Linked DNA regions of Drosophila melanogaster. Changing the gene in region 2 together with the main gene of any one other region gives a genetic interaction. Each region holds a gene or a part of one and is shown on either strand. Other genes may lie near its edges.

Evidence for each region.
Region 1: of Act88F (region 2) and wupA, changing one suppresses a phenotype caused by changing the other (phenotypic suppression), as found in Drosophila melanogaster (one study listed by BioGRID).

The regions. Positions count from the first base shown.
Region 1 is NC_004354.4:18,111,942-18,120,732, forward strand, and holds the start of wupA (wings up A), read right to left. Parts: upstream 4,885-8,791; 5' UTR 4,766-4,884; intron 2,794-4,765; exon of another isoform or gene 2,706-2,793; 5' UTR 2,685-2,705; coding exon 2,670-2,684; exon of another isoform or gene 2,665-2,669; intron 2,592-2,664; exon of another isoform or gene 2,503-2,591; intron 1,982-2,502; coding exon 1,799-1,981; exon of another isoform or gene 1,789-1,798; intron 1,635-1,788; coding exon 1,506-1,634; intron 1,441-1,505; coding exon 1,317-1,440; intron 722-1,316; coding exon of another isoform or gene 621-721; intron 98-620; coding exon of another isoform or gene 1-97. UniProt on the Drosophila melanogaster protein: Troponin I is the ATPase inhibitory subunit of troponin in the thin filament regulatory complex. Involved in the development and maintenance of muscle and nervous system. May also be involved in the cytoskeletal apparatus.
Region 2 is NT_033777.3:15,435,679-15,444,028, reverse strand, and holds Act88F (actin 88F), read right to left. Parts: upstream 4,061-8,350; 5' UTR 3,983-4,060; intron 3,430-3,982; 5' UTR 3,414-3,429; coding exon 2,489-3,413; intron 2,428-2,488; coding exon 2,222-2,427; 3' UTR 1,852-2,221; downstream 1-1,851. Other genes in the region: AdamTS-A (ADAM metallopeptidase with thrombospondin type 1 motif A), read left to right, coding at 1-625, 692-790.

The DNA of each region.
Region 1 (8,791 bases), on a different chromosome or scaffold from region 2:
TAATCCTTTCTGGCTACATCGTACTCGAAATCGTACTTTTCGGACTCCAGTTTCAGTATCTTACTGTGGTAGTCCTTACAAACACTCTGAATAGTATCTGCGGAACGAAGTGTGGTTATCAAAACGGTTCGAACTGTATCTGGATATTTGGAGGTGTTGTTTGACTGTGCGTGTGTGTGTGTGTGTGAGTGCGCTGGTATTTCTTGGTGTGGGAGTGGGTGAGTGTGTTTTTGTGAGACTAATCTACTCGAGAAATGGCACCTACACTTCCATTCTTAAACAGAACACATCCTCACTGGAGTGACATATAGAAAGAGACCTGCATTAATCGGGTGAGTATACGGAGATACGGATACGGATACGCATACGGAGCTAATTGAGCCATTGAGTTTCTGTACAGTTTTTAGTGCCTGGGCGAATAACACTTTTCACGAACATATATAGAGTGTATTATACAGTAAACAGATTGAGAGTGAGATAGTGTTTTAGATATATAGAAAGAGACAGCTGACAGAAGGTGTGTTTATATTGTTGTTGTTAAGCGTTAGCTTTTGATTTTGATCGTGGATAGACTTAGGCGTATTTAGGTGGCGTATATAAAATTGGTGGTGTTCGTGTACCTCAACATCCTTGCGTTTAACAACATACTCAAGATCATATTTCTGGTCCTCCAATTTATTAATCCTGTCATAGTGTTGCTTGATCAGAGATTTGAGTGTGTCTGTTCACAATGGGGTTTTTATATTCGGTTTTTCGGAGTGGTTCGGAGTTGGTTGTGGTTGTGGAATGGGGTGTTGGTTGTGTTGGAGAGGGTTGGTGGTGGTGGTGGTGGTGGTGGTGTGTGTGTGTGGATCGATTGGATATTTAACGGGCATGGGTGCGGCAAAAGAGAGATAGAGATAGAGACACATTTAGATACATGTTGCACACAGTGGTTCAGGCATAATAAGACTATGGTTCCTCTGCGACGTCAATGTGATCCGATGTGGGAGGTCGGTTATCCTGTGTGTGTTTGGTGTGTGTTTTTGGTGTCTTCGTGTTGGTGTGTTATGTAATTGTATGTATGTATGCGATAGATGACACTTGTTCAACTTTCAGTTATCGATTTTGGTTTATGCTTCGCGACAGGCGGGCTTAAACATATTGAATGCATAAGCCGCCTATCTGTTTTACTGATTGATTTCGTTTATTTCGATTATATGGTTTTTCATCCTTTATACTTTCGAACCGTGACCAGGTGCAGGGAAACCTCTAGGGATTTCCACTCGCCTGATCAGGGATCTTAATCATTCGGTTCGAGGACCGAGGCTACTCACCTTCGCTGGCATCGCTGAGATTCCTGGGACTGCCGCAACGTTCTTCGATGATGCGTCTACGTTCAGCCGCTTTGCGTTCCTGTTCTTTCTTCAGCTCCTCAGCGGCTTTCTTACGCAGCAGCAACTGCAAGTGGAGGGCTTTGATTAGCTGGCGATCATACAAAGCGTTGGTATATGCTGGAAACTTACCCTGAGTTTCTTCTTCCTCTCTGGGGTCATGAAACCCTTCTTGGCCTTCTTGGCCTTGGAGGCTTCCTCCATGCGCTTGCGCACCTCAGCACGCTTGCGCTCGATCTCAGCCTGTTTAGCCTTCTTAGCCTGCAAATTAAATGAACGAACAATCCGGGTATCAGCATGGTTTGCTCACATCCAAAACTGGACACAACACTAGATATGATATTCGAACACAGCACTGCACAGCACGAGACTTGGACTTTGACATGGACGTTAAGTTGAACGGGCACACACGTACACAAGTGTACCTCCTCGGCCTTCACTTTGGGGTCGTTGGGATCCTTGGGCGGACCGGCGGGAGCGGCGGCAGCTGCCGGAGCAGCCTTTCCATTGGCCGCCGGAGCAGCCTTGCCATTGGCCGCCGGGGCTGCTGCCGGAGCCGCCGGTTTGGCCGCCGCCGCTGGAGCTGCGGCCGGAGCTGCTGCCTTTTTCTGAAATCAAGTTAAATGATTGCTGGTTAGTTGCAGTTCTAGGAATCGAAAAAGTACGCCAGGCTAGGAGAAAATTGCTTAAACTTCAAAGGAACTATTAACATTTCTCAATCATCCACAATTATTTAAAGTAATCAAATAGGTTTTAAACTCATTTAAATTATATAAGAATGGTCAGCCAAGTTTTATTGGTTGTAATATTTCATTGATTTTAAACTACTTTAAATAGATCTCAAATTTCTCCAGGCACAAACGCGACGATAACAAAAAAAGGGACAAAGCAAGGCACAGAGACATAGACACACACTAACGATAACAGACATGGCTTTCAGTCAGACTTGACAGTTATCATTATCTGTGCTCCTTGATCGAAAGGAAGAAATGGCTGGGATTCAGAGGGTTGCAAAGCGCAGCGATCCTGTGAAAGCAAGAGAAAGGCAAAGAAAGGCTTGGGTTGCATGTTGCGTGGTTGCAAGTGGGGGGCTGTTGAAGCTTCTGGATTGTTCGGGAGCTTTGCTTACCTAAATCCACATCCAGTCAGGTTTAATCCCGTCCAAATCACTTCCAATTTCCAAAACAGTGCTTGCGATTAATGCCCCAAAATAGTTAACTGAAGAAGAGGGTCAAAGGTTAATCAACCGTTTCTCAAAGGCGGTAGAAAGGGGGCCGTTGGAGATACTCACCTCACCTCATCATCAGCCATTTTGATTTGTGTTTTTGGTTACTGAAAGTAAGAGAAATCGAGAGGTGAACTCAAGGAACTGGAACTGGAGGCAAATGGTGAATGGTGAATGGTGAATGGAAATGTTCGATGACATCATTTCCATTGCCCTATATATACACGGCTATATGTAGGTATATACATATAAGTATGTGTTTATATATATATATATATATGTTCCATAAATCAGTCGCTCTCTCTCCCATTCGCACACGCCTACGATCTCACCGGGGTACCACAGTGCGTATGCGCCATATTGCTGGCATATGCCGCATATTACGTATACGCAGCATTGGTTCACGCCGTATATGGGAGGACAACCCCAGCAAACGCTCATTTTCCCGCTCTCTTCGCTTAGCCTTTCTTTCGCACATTTACTTTGGCGTGGGCGTCTAGCTGCCAGAAAAAGACAACTGTATTGCTTTGTGGCTTTTCTAGTTGCTCTCTTTGATATCCGATTTCAAGTGAGCAAAGAGAGAATAGCATTTCCCAACTGACCGATCTCAGCCAGCTGATTTTGTTAATGGAAACTTTCCTACGATATGTTTTCGTTTTAATCAAGCTAAAAGTTAAATCGTTAGTATAGAAGTAACTTTTACATATGCATACTTGATCAGATGATTGATCGTTGTAATGGCATTTTAAAAATACATTTTATGCTGAATAACATATTGGGAATCTTTAAGTAAACATTATGAGATTTCATCATACGAAAAACCATGTCTACATCTTGAGGAATTAATCAGAATTTATTTGCTAGCCTATCCGTATAGTATGTATATGTATACATTTTTACTGAAATGAAGTCGAAGAATTAACACCTCACAAAGTACATATATAACTTTAAAAAGTCTACTAGCGTTGAAAGTAATCGTTAAACAAATTATCTATGCTGTTAGCAATGAACTAAAATAATGTACAATGAGTCAAAAGGAGATCCGTTATAGATTTTATATCCTTTGGAAGAAGTTGTATATTTTGGGGTTTTCACACCTACAAAGCCATATGGCTTAGTAGAACGAATTGCTAGGGAGCTAGGCGTATATTTAGCCCCAGCAATTTGCGCACCTTAGCGAAGGTAAGGCGTGAAAATTTTCTGACAATGACGACCTTCGGCTATGTACACTGCGAGAAATGCACAACGAATTTAAGCATAGTCGATGTCTCCACTCGGCATACATCTGAGAATGAGAGCGAGTGGGATGGCATCTACTGTATCTAGTATCTGACTGATTTAAAAATAAACCTGTTGATAGATACACGAATCTCGGATGCGAGAAATATGGCAGCTATTTATGATTTGCCGTACAATTTGTTTATATGTTCACGGAAAAAAAATAGTCAAATTGGAGCAACGATATTCGTATCGAATATGAAATCCAAAAGTTCGGAGAGCATTTATCCAGTTATTTTACGTAGGCGACGTGTGCGTGTTGTTTCTCTGTGTGTGAGTGTATGATTTTCTGTGTGTGCGTGTGTGTGTGTGATTTTTCTCTCTCTCGGGATCTCTTGTTCTCGCTGTGGTCTATTTTCAGGCACTTTTCGAGCGATTTTAGCTTTTTTGAAATGTATCTTGTATCTGCGGGATACATTTTTAGCTTTCGGCACGCACACACACGCATACACGCACACACACACGGCAACTTCTTACGTAATTGGCAAGCCAATCCGTGAAAAAAAATTCATTGCAAAATCAAGTCAAAATAATGTTGAAAAGTATTTCGATGCAGTTTTAGACACTTGTTAACTTGTATCACTTGAAAAAAAATAGCAAAAAAATTGTTTGAAAAAAAATGTTTGAATCCTCTGGGCACACGCACACGATTTTGGTCAGGTCCAGACATACATATAAATATAAATATATATATATATATGTATAGCATATGAGAAAGGACTGAGGATTTCACATTTGTTTTTCTTTGCATTAGCATTAGCATTTGCATTTTGCATTTTGCAGTTTTCTGTTTTTCCATTCCGCTTGTTCTTGCATTGTTGCTCGTTGTCAATGTTGATGGTGATGTTTTTCTTGGCTTTTTGAATGTTGCTCCGCTTCAAGCACTCACCTTCAAGGAATTAGAAAAAAAAGAAAAAAAATTCGGCTATGCTGTCGATCACACGAATCGGATGATACTGAACGACACAAAAAGACTGAACGGTCCGACGATCCACGGCAGACTATATTCTAGCGGCTAGCCACCCAACGGATACAGATACGGATCGTTGTTGATCGGATCGCATCGTATCGCATCGTCTCGTTCGGCTCGGTTCCGTTATGTTCCGAAAGCCAAACGTTAGCCGCCCACCTGCCCACCGTCCTTCACGAACGGGCGAGAGCGAGAGAGAGCGAGAGTGGCTCGGGGGCCGGGGTTATGTATCTGGGCGTGAGATCCAAAAATAGATCCCACCAAAACTGACATGGCAGAGCACAGCCCATAAGCAAAATCGAAATGGATACCGAAAAGTGTTCGGCTCACGATCGTCGCAGCCGAGTGGCATGCCGAATCGATTCCGAATCCGAATCCGATTGCGATTGCGATTGCGATTGCGATCCCGATCCCGTAACTCCCGCCCCGTCGGAACTGCAGACCCGTAAACCACCCTATGAAAAATACCGCTTGGAGAATCTTTGTATCTCTGTATCCGCATCGGTGTTCACAATATCGTATCTGCAGTTCGATGTGTGTGCTGGTGTAAACGGAGCCGCTTGGAATTCAATGCAATGGATAAAAATAGGTTTTGTTGCTCCAGTTGGGAGGCTATGCGATGGCGGTGCAATCGGTGTGCAATGAAAAAATCAGGGCCGGCGACTGGCTGCAATCTCTGGTTTCGCCAGCCCTGGTTAAAAAACTATAAAATATTATGCTAATTCTGGAAAATCCAGGGAATAAGCTTGTGCTGGGATATGCATATATTGAATATATATTCATTTTCAATGTAATCTACTTCAACAGCAAATACTAATGAAACTAAACATTATCTTAAAATAGGTGCATGCAGCGTTATTTTAAAGATTAGATTTATAACTCCTATCGAACATTTATCCTCATAAACATAACTAATATTTCGATGAGTTGACTGAATACAAATTACTGTTTTCTTTAGAAGACTGCAGTTTTTAAGAAAAATAGGTTAATAACCCTTACATACATATATTGCTGAAAATATATTAGATAAAATTGGGGAATCCCATAGATTCTTAACTTATTTAATTTGAAGATTATTACTATTTAATCCATCCAATATCATTTCCAGGTCTTAAAGTAATTATTCCGTTTGTGTTCATTTAAAAGGTTTTTCTTAGACCGTGCCACTTTGGACTTGATCTAGAAAAACCATTTTAACGATCTGTTTCATGTTGTTCGGCTATTTATCTTGCATGTTGGCCGCTGACATAACTTTAAGCTTTCGAATAATGTGTTCCAAGCGAATCGTACGAACATATAGCCTATATCCGTCTTGTTAATATCAATGTTTTAGCTGAATTACTTTGGCATCGTCAGTCTAAATATAATGTATATACGCAATATGGCCAAATACACACATACACATATATATATATATATATATATGTATATATATATAAATTTCTATATATAATGGTAAACGGTGCGAATGACGCTGCAACACACCTACTGAAAATCACGCATACGCCCCGTAGACGAAACGCCTTGCAACTTTGGTTGAAAGTAATTTTCGAATTTCGCCAAGAACGAAAGACGAATAAAACGTTTCGATCACGAAACCATGTCTATATATATATATATATATCGTATATGAATTTAGATATACATAGACTGTCTATACGTATGTTCCGATTCTATAAACTTTCAGCAGGGAGAGCAACAACAAAATATTGTTGAAAATAATGTTGCTTTTCCCTGCTCATCTCGTTGTTCTTGGCATTTTGTGTTTCTGTTTGTGTTGCTTGTTTTTGATTTTGCCACGGCTTGTTCTAGCTCTATTTCGAAATGTATTTTCGATGATTTCTATTTTGTTTTTCCCCATTTAAATTTAGAATATGGCTTCCAGGGGGGAAATCGAAAAAACGGCGACTGCGGAAGGGCAGTGGGTTAGCTTGGGGCAAAATGTTTTCGTTATTCGTAGGGAACTTGATCAGTTCGTCTATGTCTGGACGAATCTATTTTCGCCTTCATTCTCGTTCCGAGCGTTTTTAAACAATTCCGCTGCGCGCCCAAGCAATTTTTGCCTTAATTTATGAATTTCGAAAATGTTTTTCGTTTGAAAAAACACTTTTAATATTGTGCCTTATTTTTGGGCCTTTGGCAAACAGGAAATATTGAATCGGACGGGGGTGGGCTATAATGCCGACCAGTATTACTAGAAAAGCGGTAATGTCTTACAGCGTCGAAAATGTGTATACATTGGCAATAAGTAAACTTTAATAAAGCAATGTTGCAACATGGGCGGAATATTTGCACGAATCGAGGCCTTAAAGGTGGGCAGTGTGGTGTGCCCAGTGAATCGAGCTTAATTCGGGGTTAAAGGCGAACCATCGATGGTCAGCTGGCTGCGAGTGCGTCAAAGCAAAACAAACGTCATAAGCGCCCACCCCCGCCCCCCCCCTCTGAGCCGCCCACTGTGGGCGTGGCCTTGCAACGTTCGCTCTACCTGACAACTATTTGTCGCTGCTGTCGTCGTCGTCGTCGTCGTCGTCGTTGTCGTCTGCCCGCCGAACTCCCCCTCCATAACCAGAACCAACACCACTCCCCAGCTGTCGCTGACCCATTTAGGGTTATATACACACAAACAGGCACTCGCATCCTTATCCTCCCTGCACCGTATATAAATATATATATGTATATATATAATATGTATATGTATTTATATATGCTGCATGCACTCGCATTATGTATGTACATAGGTGCTGGGTGCACTCATGGTAGCCGTCAGAATTCGCTTACTCCGGCTGGTCCTGCGAAATATTTAAATAACCCTGCCCAAGTTCGCCTTAGAGTTGGCAAAGTTATCGCAAATTTAATTAAATCAACTAAACGGATTACAGTTTCAAATGCACTTTTGGTGCACGTATTGGTTGCACATCTCCAAGGATTAACTGCGTTTGTCGGTTACAGTAACTAATTTTGTTGCATCAAAGGGCGGCTGAAAAGCACGAAACTTGTGCTGTGGCGTAAGTATAATCAATTATTCAGAATGAAACTTTTGCAAGCTAGTATTATGATAAGAAAGTGGGGGAAATAATGCGATTAGCATGGATAATAGGATTAATAAGTAGCTTTATTACAGAGGCATTTATTTGGCATGAAGTTAAATGTCTTTATATTGTAGATTGAAAAATGCTTTTATCTAAACAAATACCTAGTTAAATGCTGCGTACGTTATTATTTATAATTTATTTATAATTTCTATAGCTACACTACTGCTAACAGTTGGGCCATTTCTATTTGGCTTCTTTAAAACTAGCTCAATATTTTCCGTTGTTGTTTTCATGGAGTAGTTCGTATCTCGGATAATCGCCTATTTTTAGGGACTTGTGTTTATACCCTTGTACTTTTTCTATGGCTTTCCACATTTTCCACATTGATGACGTGCAACCGCACGCACACAGGCGCAGTCGTTCACACCGATAGCATGCGTGTGCAGCTTGTAGTGTATTTGCACTAGTTTCGCCGCCAGTGACGTCATAGTTTCCACGCAGACGTCATCAGGAGGCAGCGAGGTCAGTCCATGCAACATGCAACATGGTGCAGGAACAGGAATATGATGCGGATTCCATGTGCACGCGTTCGTGGAAGGCAAAATGGCGCCTAATTGATTGATGGTCCAGTAAGCTGAGGTCAATCAAGGGGCCCCAATTTCCACGACCATTCCACACAGACTTTTGAAAATATTCTCGCCGAACAGCATATCAAATGTGTGGTTTAAAATGATATGGAAAATTACCAAAAAGATACTCATATTGCATCGATTTATTTCTGTAAGGCCTTGAATGCACACATGTATCTTAAATATATCTGAAAATTATCACAAAATATCCCTTTCATATCCTTGTTGCTTTTTAGGAATACATAGTAACTGCGAATTCAATGCCTAATTAGAAGACTTATCAA
Region 2 (8,350 bases):
CAGCTGCACTCCGCCGCCACATTGCCGAAGGAGAAGTGCCATCGGGAGCAGCATCAGCAGCAGACCGAGGGGCACTGGAGTGAGTAGCAGCAGGAGCTTGAATTCAATCGGAGGCTCACGGAATCGCGGAACACCGAGAAGCTGTGCGGACCTGAAGGAGATGCACGGCTACAACAAGGATGGCAACTACCAGCTGGAGGTGAGATCGCGAATGGTGCACATCTACTGCCACGGGATGAACAGCAGGACGCCACAGGAGTACGTGAACGTGGATCCGCAGGAGAACTACTCCATATACTACGAGTACAGGACGAAACAGACCAACAGCTGTCCGCCGGAGTCGCGAGGCCACGAGTACTACAACGATCAGAACTCCGGCCGGACGCACTTCAGAAAGCTGCGGCTGAATATCACCGATCTGCGCATCATGGACAACGACTTCAAGTTCGCCGATTCGCGAGGATTGGCTCAGAAGCTGGGATCAGCGGGCGATTGCTACAATCGCATTGGCCAGTGTCCGCAGGGCGACTTCTCGATTAACATGAAGGACACGGACTTCTCCATACGACCGGGAACCGTGTGGCGGATGCATGGCCAGTACTCGGTCATGAAGCGTATCAGTGAGGTATGTCAGTCACTCAATTATCAAAAAGGATCATTGCCTATATATATATGCTATTCCCGTTTTCAGTTTGATACGACCACGCAGATGCGAAGGGGATTCTGCGGAGGATACTGCGGCGGTTGCTATATAGCGCCCGATTCTGGCCTTTACCTGGACGTGTTATGACTGAAACCACTGAGTAGTCAGCGGGAAACTTTGTTTGACCTTCCCACGGTAATCGGGTCTACGTCCCGGGAAGGACCAAGGGTAAAGTTAATCCGAGCATCCCAGCATATCAGGGTTACCCCAGCCAAGAATTACCACTACGGAGAGTCGCCGCTATCGATGGTTAAAAGTATTCTCGAATATTAGTTAGTTATATATAAACTGTAATAATCGTGTCGAAGTAGCCCGAACAAAACCATATCGTCTGTATATATATATAATTATATTTCGCTCGAAATTAGTAACTAGATATTATTGCCATGTAATGTATTAAGTATTGTAAATACTAGAGGATGTGAGCCTTTGAATTAGCAAATAGGGATTATCCATCATCATAGGTCGTCGCTCAGATAAGCCCGTATTTGTGCCAACTCCGGTATGCAGTGATGGAAGATGCAAAGATATCCTTTGCCTAGGTAAAGTCAGCAATGGGAACAATACCAAGAAGTGCATTTCAAGCAATAATTTAATTTAATTAAAATATACTTACACTTTCCTCTGCTCCATCCCCAACAATTATTCCGATTATTCCCTGAAACAAGCCTAGGGCATCCATCCATCCATCACTCACCGAAAACGAAGAGCTCGGCTAAACTAGTGCAATGCCGGTCTGTACAATAGTTGTATTAGCTTAGCTCCGCAATTAGTTAGTTAAGAGAGAGAGAGAGAAGTTGGGAGCAAATGTATGTGTAACTAAAACGAATACTCATATTATTTAGGATACCCCCCGATCGCACAAGCCAAACCAAACTATTCATCAAATCGAATTAACACTCTTGATTGATTGTTATCACTGCCAGATTTTCAACGTTCAATCGATTGTATCCCAAATCGCCTAAGTCCCGGTACCAAGTATCCTCGCTGTATTTTCATTTAACTAGCTAGGCTAATGCAAAACCAATGTTAACAATTAATTTAATGTCAATTAAAAGGAATTTAAAGCTGTTACCAACCAAACGTGGTTCGCACCTCCAGGGCTTTTCAGTACACGGGGGGGGGGCGGGTAATAGAAAAATGTATTTATTTAAAATATTTAATAGTTTTAATGGAAGATATATTTGGCTTTCAATTCACTGACTAGGGTTAAAAGCTCCTCATATACATTTGATTGCTACTCGACATGGAGCACAGCCACGACTCTTACGATTAGTTCTTCAAAGTAAAAATCCGCTATACCGCTGCCGATGAAATGGCCATGAAGGATGAGCACCGACAACCGGAGGTTGCCTCTGATTATCTGCTGTGAATCTGAGTTGGATGATAATTGTTGTGCGATGGGTTCGCTGCTTTTGTCTATCACTGTCCGAGCCGAGGTTGTTGGGTAGCTCGATGGGTGCTTGTTGGTCGCTGCTGGTTGCTGCCTTTGAAGAGCTTTCGCGGCGGGCGAAAGACTTAAAAGCATTTGCGGTGAACGATTCCGGGGCCGGACTCGTCGTACTCCTGCTTCGAGATCCACATCTGCTGGAAGGTGGACAGCGAGGCCAGGATGGAGCCACCGATCCAGACGGAGTACTTCCTCTCGGGTGGCGCAATGATCTTGATCTTGATGGTCGATGGGGCCAGGGCAGTGATCTCCTTCTGCATACGATCGGCAATACCTGAAAGTGCACCAAAGGATTAAGCACAAGTGCAACTGCTGAAGCGAATGATTTGTCTTACCAGGGTACATGGTGGTACCGCCGGACAGCACAGAGTTGGCATACAGATCCTTGCGGATGTCCACGTCGCACTTCATGATCGAGTTGTAGACGGTCTCGTGGATGCCGCACGACTCCATGCCCAGGAACGAGGGCTGGAACAGAGCCTCGGGGCAGCGGAAGCGCTCGTTGCCAATGGTGATCACCTGGCCGTCAGGCAACTCGTACGACTTCTCCAGCGAGGTGGAGGCGGCAGCGGTGGCCATCTCCTGCTCGAAGTCCAGAGCCACGTAGCACAGCTTCTCCTTGATGTCGCGCACGATCTCACGCTCGGCGGTGGTGGTGAAGCTGTAGCCGCGCTCCGTCAGGATCTTCATCAGGTAATCGGTCAGATCGCGACCAGCCAGATCCAGACGCAGAATGGCGTGGGGCAGGGCGAAGCCCTCATAGATGGGCACGGTGTGGGAGACACCATCGCCGGAGTCCAGCACAATACCGGTGGTACGACCGGAGGCGTACAGGGAGAGCACGGCCTGGATGGCCACGTACATGGCCGGCGAGTTGAAGGTCTCGAACATGATCTGGGTCATCTTCTCGCGATTGGCCTTGGGGTTCAGTGGAGCCTCGGTCAATAATACTGGATGCTCCTCGGGGGCCACGCGCAGCTCGTTGTAGAAGGTGTGATGCCAGATCTTCTCCATGTCGTCCCAGTTCGTGATGATGCCGTGCTCGATGGGGTACTTCAGCGTCAGGATACCGCGCTTGCTTTGCGCCTCGTCGCCCACGTACGAGTCCTTCTGACCCATACCCACCATCACACCCTGGTGTCGGGGACGACCCACAATTGAGGGGAAGACAGCACGGGGAGCGTCATCACCGGCGAAGCCGGCTTTGCACATGCCCGATCCGTTGTCGATAACTAATGCACCCGCATCATCGTCACACATCTTGGCAGTTGTTTATCTGGAAGGGAGATGGAAGTGCACTCGGTTAGCTCGATCTGTCGATTATATATGTAAAGTTTTATAGCTCCCACCTACATCTCAATTCTTTAAATTCTACTACTTTAATGACAACATAGAAAACTAATTTGTGTCTCAAGAAAATATTTAACTTTTTAAGATATTGAAGAAGTGAAGTGAAACTCTATTGTCCATTTGAGCACATTTCAGTAAATAAAACCATGAAAAATTGCCAAAATTGGTATATTCCATTTCCTTTTGACTCATGCTAATATGGTTATTCACTTGAAACTAAATCAGTGCTCTATAAATATCGGAAAAGAATAGTTCATAGAACTTAATTTAAACGTATCAAATTAATTGAAAATACGTTTCGTTGCAATTACTCTTCACTTTATATTTAGATATTGAACTTTCGAAGACCGATTAGTGACTTGTAGAAAAATCCATCAAACAATCCGAACTTATTAAAAAGAGTTTTAATATCCTTAGTCCTCTTGGCTTTTTCTGTAATAATCCTTGGATCCTTCGACATTGAGGTCGCACTCACACACCTTTTAGGTCAACGAAAGGAGAAAAATTGGATAGAGTCGCACGTTCGATTCCTGTTGACAACTAGATTCAACAACAAATGGCACGCCGATCGGTCTGTCCTGCCTTTATATCTCGGCTCTCCCTCGAAGCGATTTGAGTTGGATGCCAGTGCGGCACTGAGAAAAAGATTGAGCGAAAGTGCTGCGGAACAATCGATCCATATAAGCAGTTTTCAGACTTCTGGCCGAGCATGTCAGAAGTTTGGATGCCTCATTGCACGAAGACGACTCATTAATGCGCTTCACAAAAAAAGGAAGCCACACAATTAAATACTTAATAAAGCATAGAATCATTTATTAAGATTACCAATAAATTCAATAAACGAGGGAATTTCCAAACTACGAAAATATGACATTTTATATTTTTTTCACATTGTTAGTAGGTACAAATCCTAGAAAAGGGTCTCATAACATATAACAGCTTAAATAACTATGTAGTAGAAGATAAACTTTATCTTCAATTCAGTTCATATTTAATCCTAGAAATATTTAATTAATTGACAATATATGATAGAAGTAAGCTATCAATCTTAGGACCCTATTCATTATTTGTAGGGAGTGCCAGGAGAGAGAAAGCTCTCGAAAGATAAGAGAACGCCATAGCCGAGTGATTAGCAGAGGTGCGTGATAGTCGGAGCATGGGCCATCTAAACGGCAATCAGCACTCTCGAGTGGCCAATTAGCCCCATCTCCGTCCCCATCTCTGTCCCAATCCTGCTGCCAATGGGCGACTGCTGCGGCGGACGACTCATTCGGTGCTGAGAGTTCGGAAAATAGAAACGGACCTTAGAAGGACCGACGCAAGACAATTGGCATCCGCGGCAGGGACTGGGAGAATGGGACATTTCAACGGGCACGCAGCGAGGCGAATCTAAAATAGACGCGCCAAGCAGAGCGGCACCTATAAATCAACATCAAGGTTGATCGAGATCTCCGCGCGCGGTGCTCGAGGAAGCTGCATCCACATTTGCAATCGCATTCTACAGAATGCTGCTGCACTTTGCATTGCGGCGCCGATGCAATCCCGAAGATGCGAAATCACCGTGCCGACCATTTATCAGTGCAATTAACCAACCATTGCCAGCCAGACCGAGCGAAAATGTATTTTCTCAATCGAACTGTATTTATCCTTTTATGTAGATTTAATTATTTTTTACTTCTTTCTATTTACGTTTTTATTGCTTGCCCACATGAATAATCGAATGCGGTTGGTCTAAAGATAGGATCTGATTGCTCGGAAGTGAATTGGTGGCATTCCCAAAGCGTTTTATTTGGTAATTGCCTTGATTGACATCGTGTATTGAGCAAGAGGTTAGTGGCTGCGAACAGAATTGTTCACCATTCTTATCTTTATTTTTTAATTTATGAAAAGTCATTCAACCACTGAATTGATTGGGCTCACCATTTATTTAAAAATTCATATCTTAACTAAATTTGCCTATTGTGCATTCTAGATATTTCTGAATTATACTTTTATTTCGGCAAATTGATATAATTGTGAAAAATATTTTAGAAATTTAAGTGTTTTTTTAAAAATTACACTTCTACTGCACACTTTTGTTCTCTTTCTATCGAAAGATAAATTAGTAATTAATTAATTTAATTACTATAACATTATGTAAACATCGTTAAATATTTGTATACCTATTTGTACGGTTTCAGGAATAATTTCTATTGGATTTGTATTGATGTACGTAAGAATTTCCCACGATTTATTTATTTGAATATTTCGTAGTCGAGACAAGAACCATAAACTAAAAGCATGCAAGTCTTAGCATACTTTTCGGCTGAAGTAAAAGCCAATCATAGATGGCGCTGTAATGCACAGCGAATGGTCTTTCACTTAACAGCATTTAAACGAGTTTATGATTTTCTATCTGAAAAGAAGAGAATATGACACATCGAATGGCTCCGAAGATAAATAATATATTGAAATAGCTCCAGCACGGGCCCCTGAAAAAAAAAGCTCGACGGAACCCGTTTCCGCTAGCGCACCTATTGTCGGTGAAAGAGCGCCAAGCGAAAGCCAAGCGACAGAAACGTGCTCCAAAACGAAAGACTTAAGACCCGAACCTGAACCTCAAGCAGAAATAGAAGCAGAAGCAGAATGAGAAAAGCAAAACCGAGGCGAGCTCGAAAAAGAAAGTGCAAGTGGACGCAGATACTTTAGTATTCCGTCAGCGGAGTCGGGCTTATTTTCTTACTTCGTCTTGCGTCTGTGTTGGTGCTCGTTTCACGGGCAGAGCGCGCCGCTGGAGACCGAGACCGAGACCCAGACCCACAGCCACAGCCACTTCACCAGCACCACCACCATCATGATCACCGCCATGGTAACCAGCACCACCACAATCATCACCGCAGGCAAAGTTAAAGCCAAAACCTGAGCCACGAGCGCGTTGGCGATGACGACGCCGACTGAGGCTGCGGCTGAGCAGCGGCCGCGCAGCTTGACCCACTTTTTGGCCCATACAATCAGAATGTTTCATGTTTCGATTTTATTATTTTATTTTCTGTTTCTCTTTTCGGCTATCTTTTCGATTTGCTGGTCAGCAACGTGTATGTGTGTCTATAGTATGTATGCGTATGTAAGTGTGTATGTATGAGTGCGAAGTTACTTTTTCTTTTCTTGCAGCTTGGCTGCTCTCATTGAAGTTGTAGGCCTATGCGAGATACGTGTGTAGATACAAGAACCATTTATTTATTTCGTGGCATGACTTTCGAAAAATTGTTTTATATTTCACTCGCCGCTGCGTTGCTGTGCGGGGGAAAAATTCACTGCCAACGGAGATATTACTTTCAGATTCCATACTCGCTCATTAAAGGGGTAGCGAAAAATCAATCTGGATTGAGCATTTAGAAGAACAAATGATCTGCTCATCCATGGTTGTCGGATTTTCGTTTGCTGCATGTTGCTGTTACTGTTGCTGTTGCTGCTGCGTTGCTGCCGGCAGCATGACATAAACTTTCGATTGTCTGCCCGTCACATAACTGTTACTCGTCTTCTGCCTCGGTTTCCCCACAGCTCCATCTCCGATTTCCATTTCCATCGCCTTCTTCTCGTTCTTTTGGCCATTTCTTCTCCGCTACCACATCAATTTGGACTTTGGGCTTAAATGGGTAATTGGGTCAGACCCCGTTGGCTGCTTTCGGGAAATGTTCATTTCACTTAAAATTCTTTGGCTTATATTTTTGGTTTGTTAGTCATACGGCAGCTGGCTCTGGTTCTTTGCGAGACTTTATGAAATTCGGAAATCTCTTTTCCTGCTCGGATTTTACAACTTTCTTGGCTTATTCTTTACCTTGCCTTGTCTTTGTGGCTGGGCGCTTAATGCGTTTGGCATCGTTTTCGGCATCTTCGCTCGTTCTGCCTCGCCCTCTGCACAGCTTCTTCGCCGTCTTCTTAATAATTTTATGTTAATTATTAAAAAGTGAAAATACGATTTTGGCTTTTGGGGTCTCGACTCTTAGCTGCATTAATCATTTAGCCGCGATACATCTTAGCTCGTTTCTTTTTCCCCCAGCAGTTCTGGCCCGGTCGAGATTTATATAACGAACCAGCCGTCCAATTAAATCTATTAGCTCTCCTATTGACAAAGATCATCGTTTGGCAATAAAATGCGTTTTCGTTTTCAGTAGAAACAAAATATTCCGTTGCTCATTAGCATGTAAATACAAATTCGGGCCTATTAGTTGGTCGAAAGTCGTGGTCATGCGACACAAGATTGAGCACTGGATGACTAAATGGATCTTCGACAGGTTCTGCATCCCTACTTGAAGTGGATGTGGATACGGTATACTCGATGTATCCGCAATGGAAAGATGATTTACATCTCTATATGTAACAGTCGGTGGCTTTATCACACAAACTTTCACCCAGCTGAGTAAAATATGTTAAAAGAATCGATCAATCGGCAACGGTGTGAACTCACAAGCTTAGAATACTGCCTATACAACTTTACAACATTGAAATTCTCGCCGACAATTTATCAAGCTTGGGAAAATCTCGAAAGAAATAAAAAGCTGACAAATGCCGAGTAAATAGAGGCCTACCACTGTGCCCCACGGCGGCAGCGGGGCAATTCAATCCAAGTACAATGGCCAGGGGAAGTGTCTAATGCAGACATCTTCTACATTAGAAAGTTTTCTACAACTACAACCAGCAGGGCAGCATCGCGCATCCGAGTGTAAGACAAAAGAAACAACTGTAAGTGCAGAGAGCCCCGGCTCCCCGAAAAGCACCCAAGAGCCCCAGCAAGACCACTCCAAATGGAGCCTGCTGAAGACAGAGCTTTGCAACGCTAACTGCGCATGGGTAGACCAGTAGAAAGA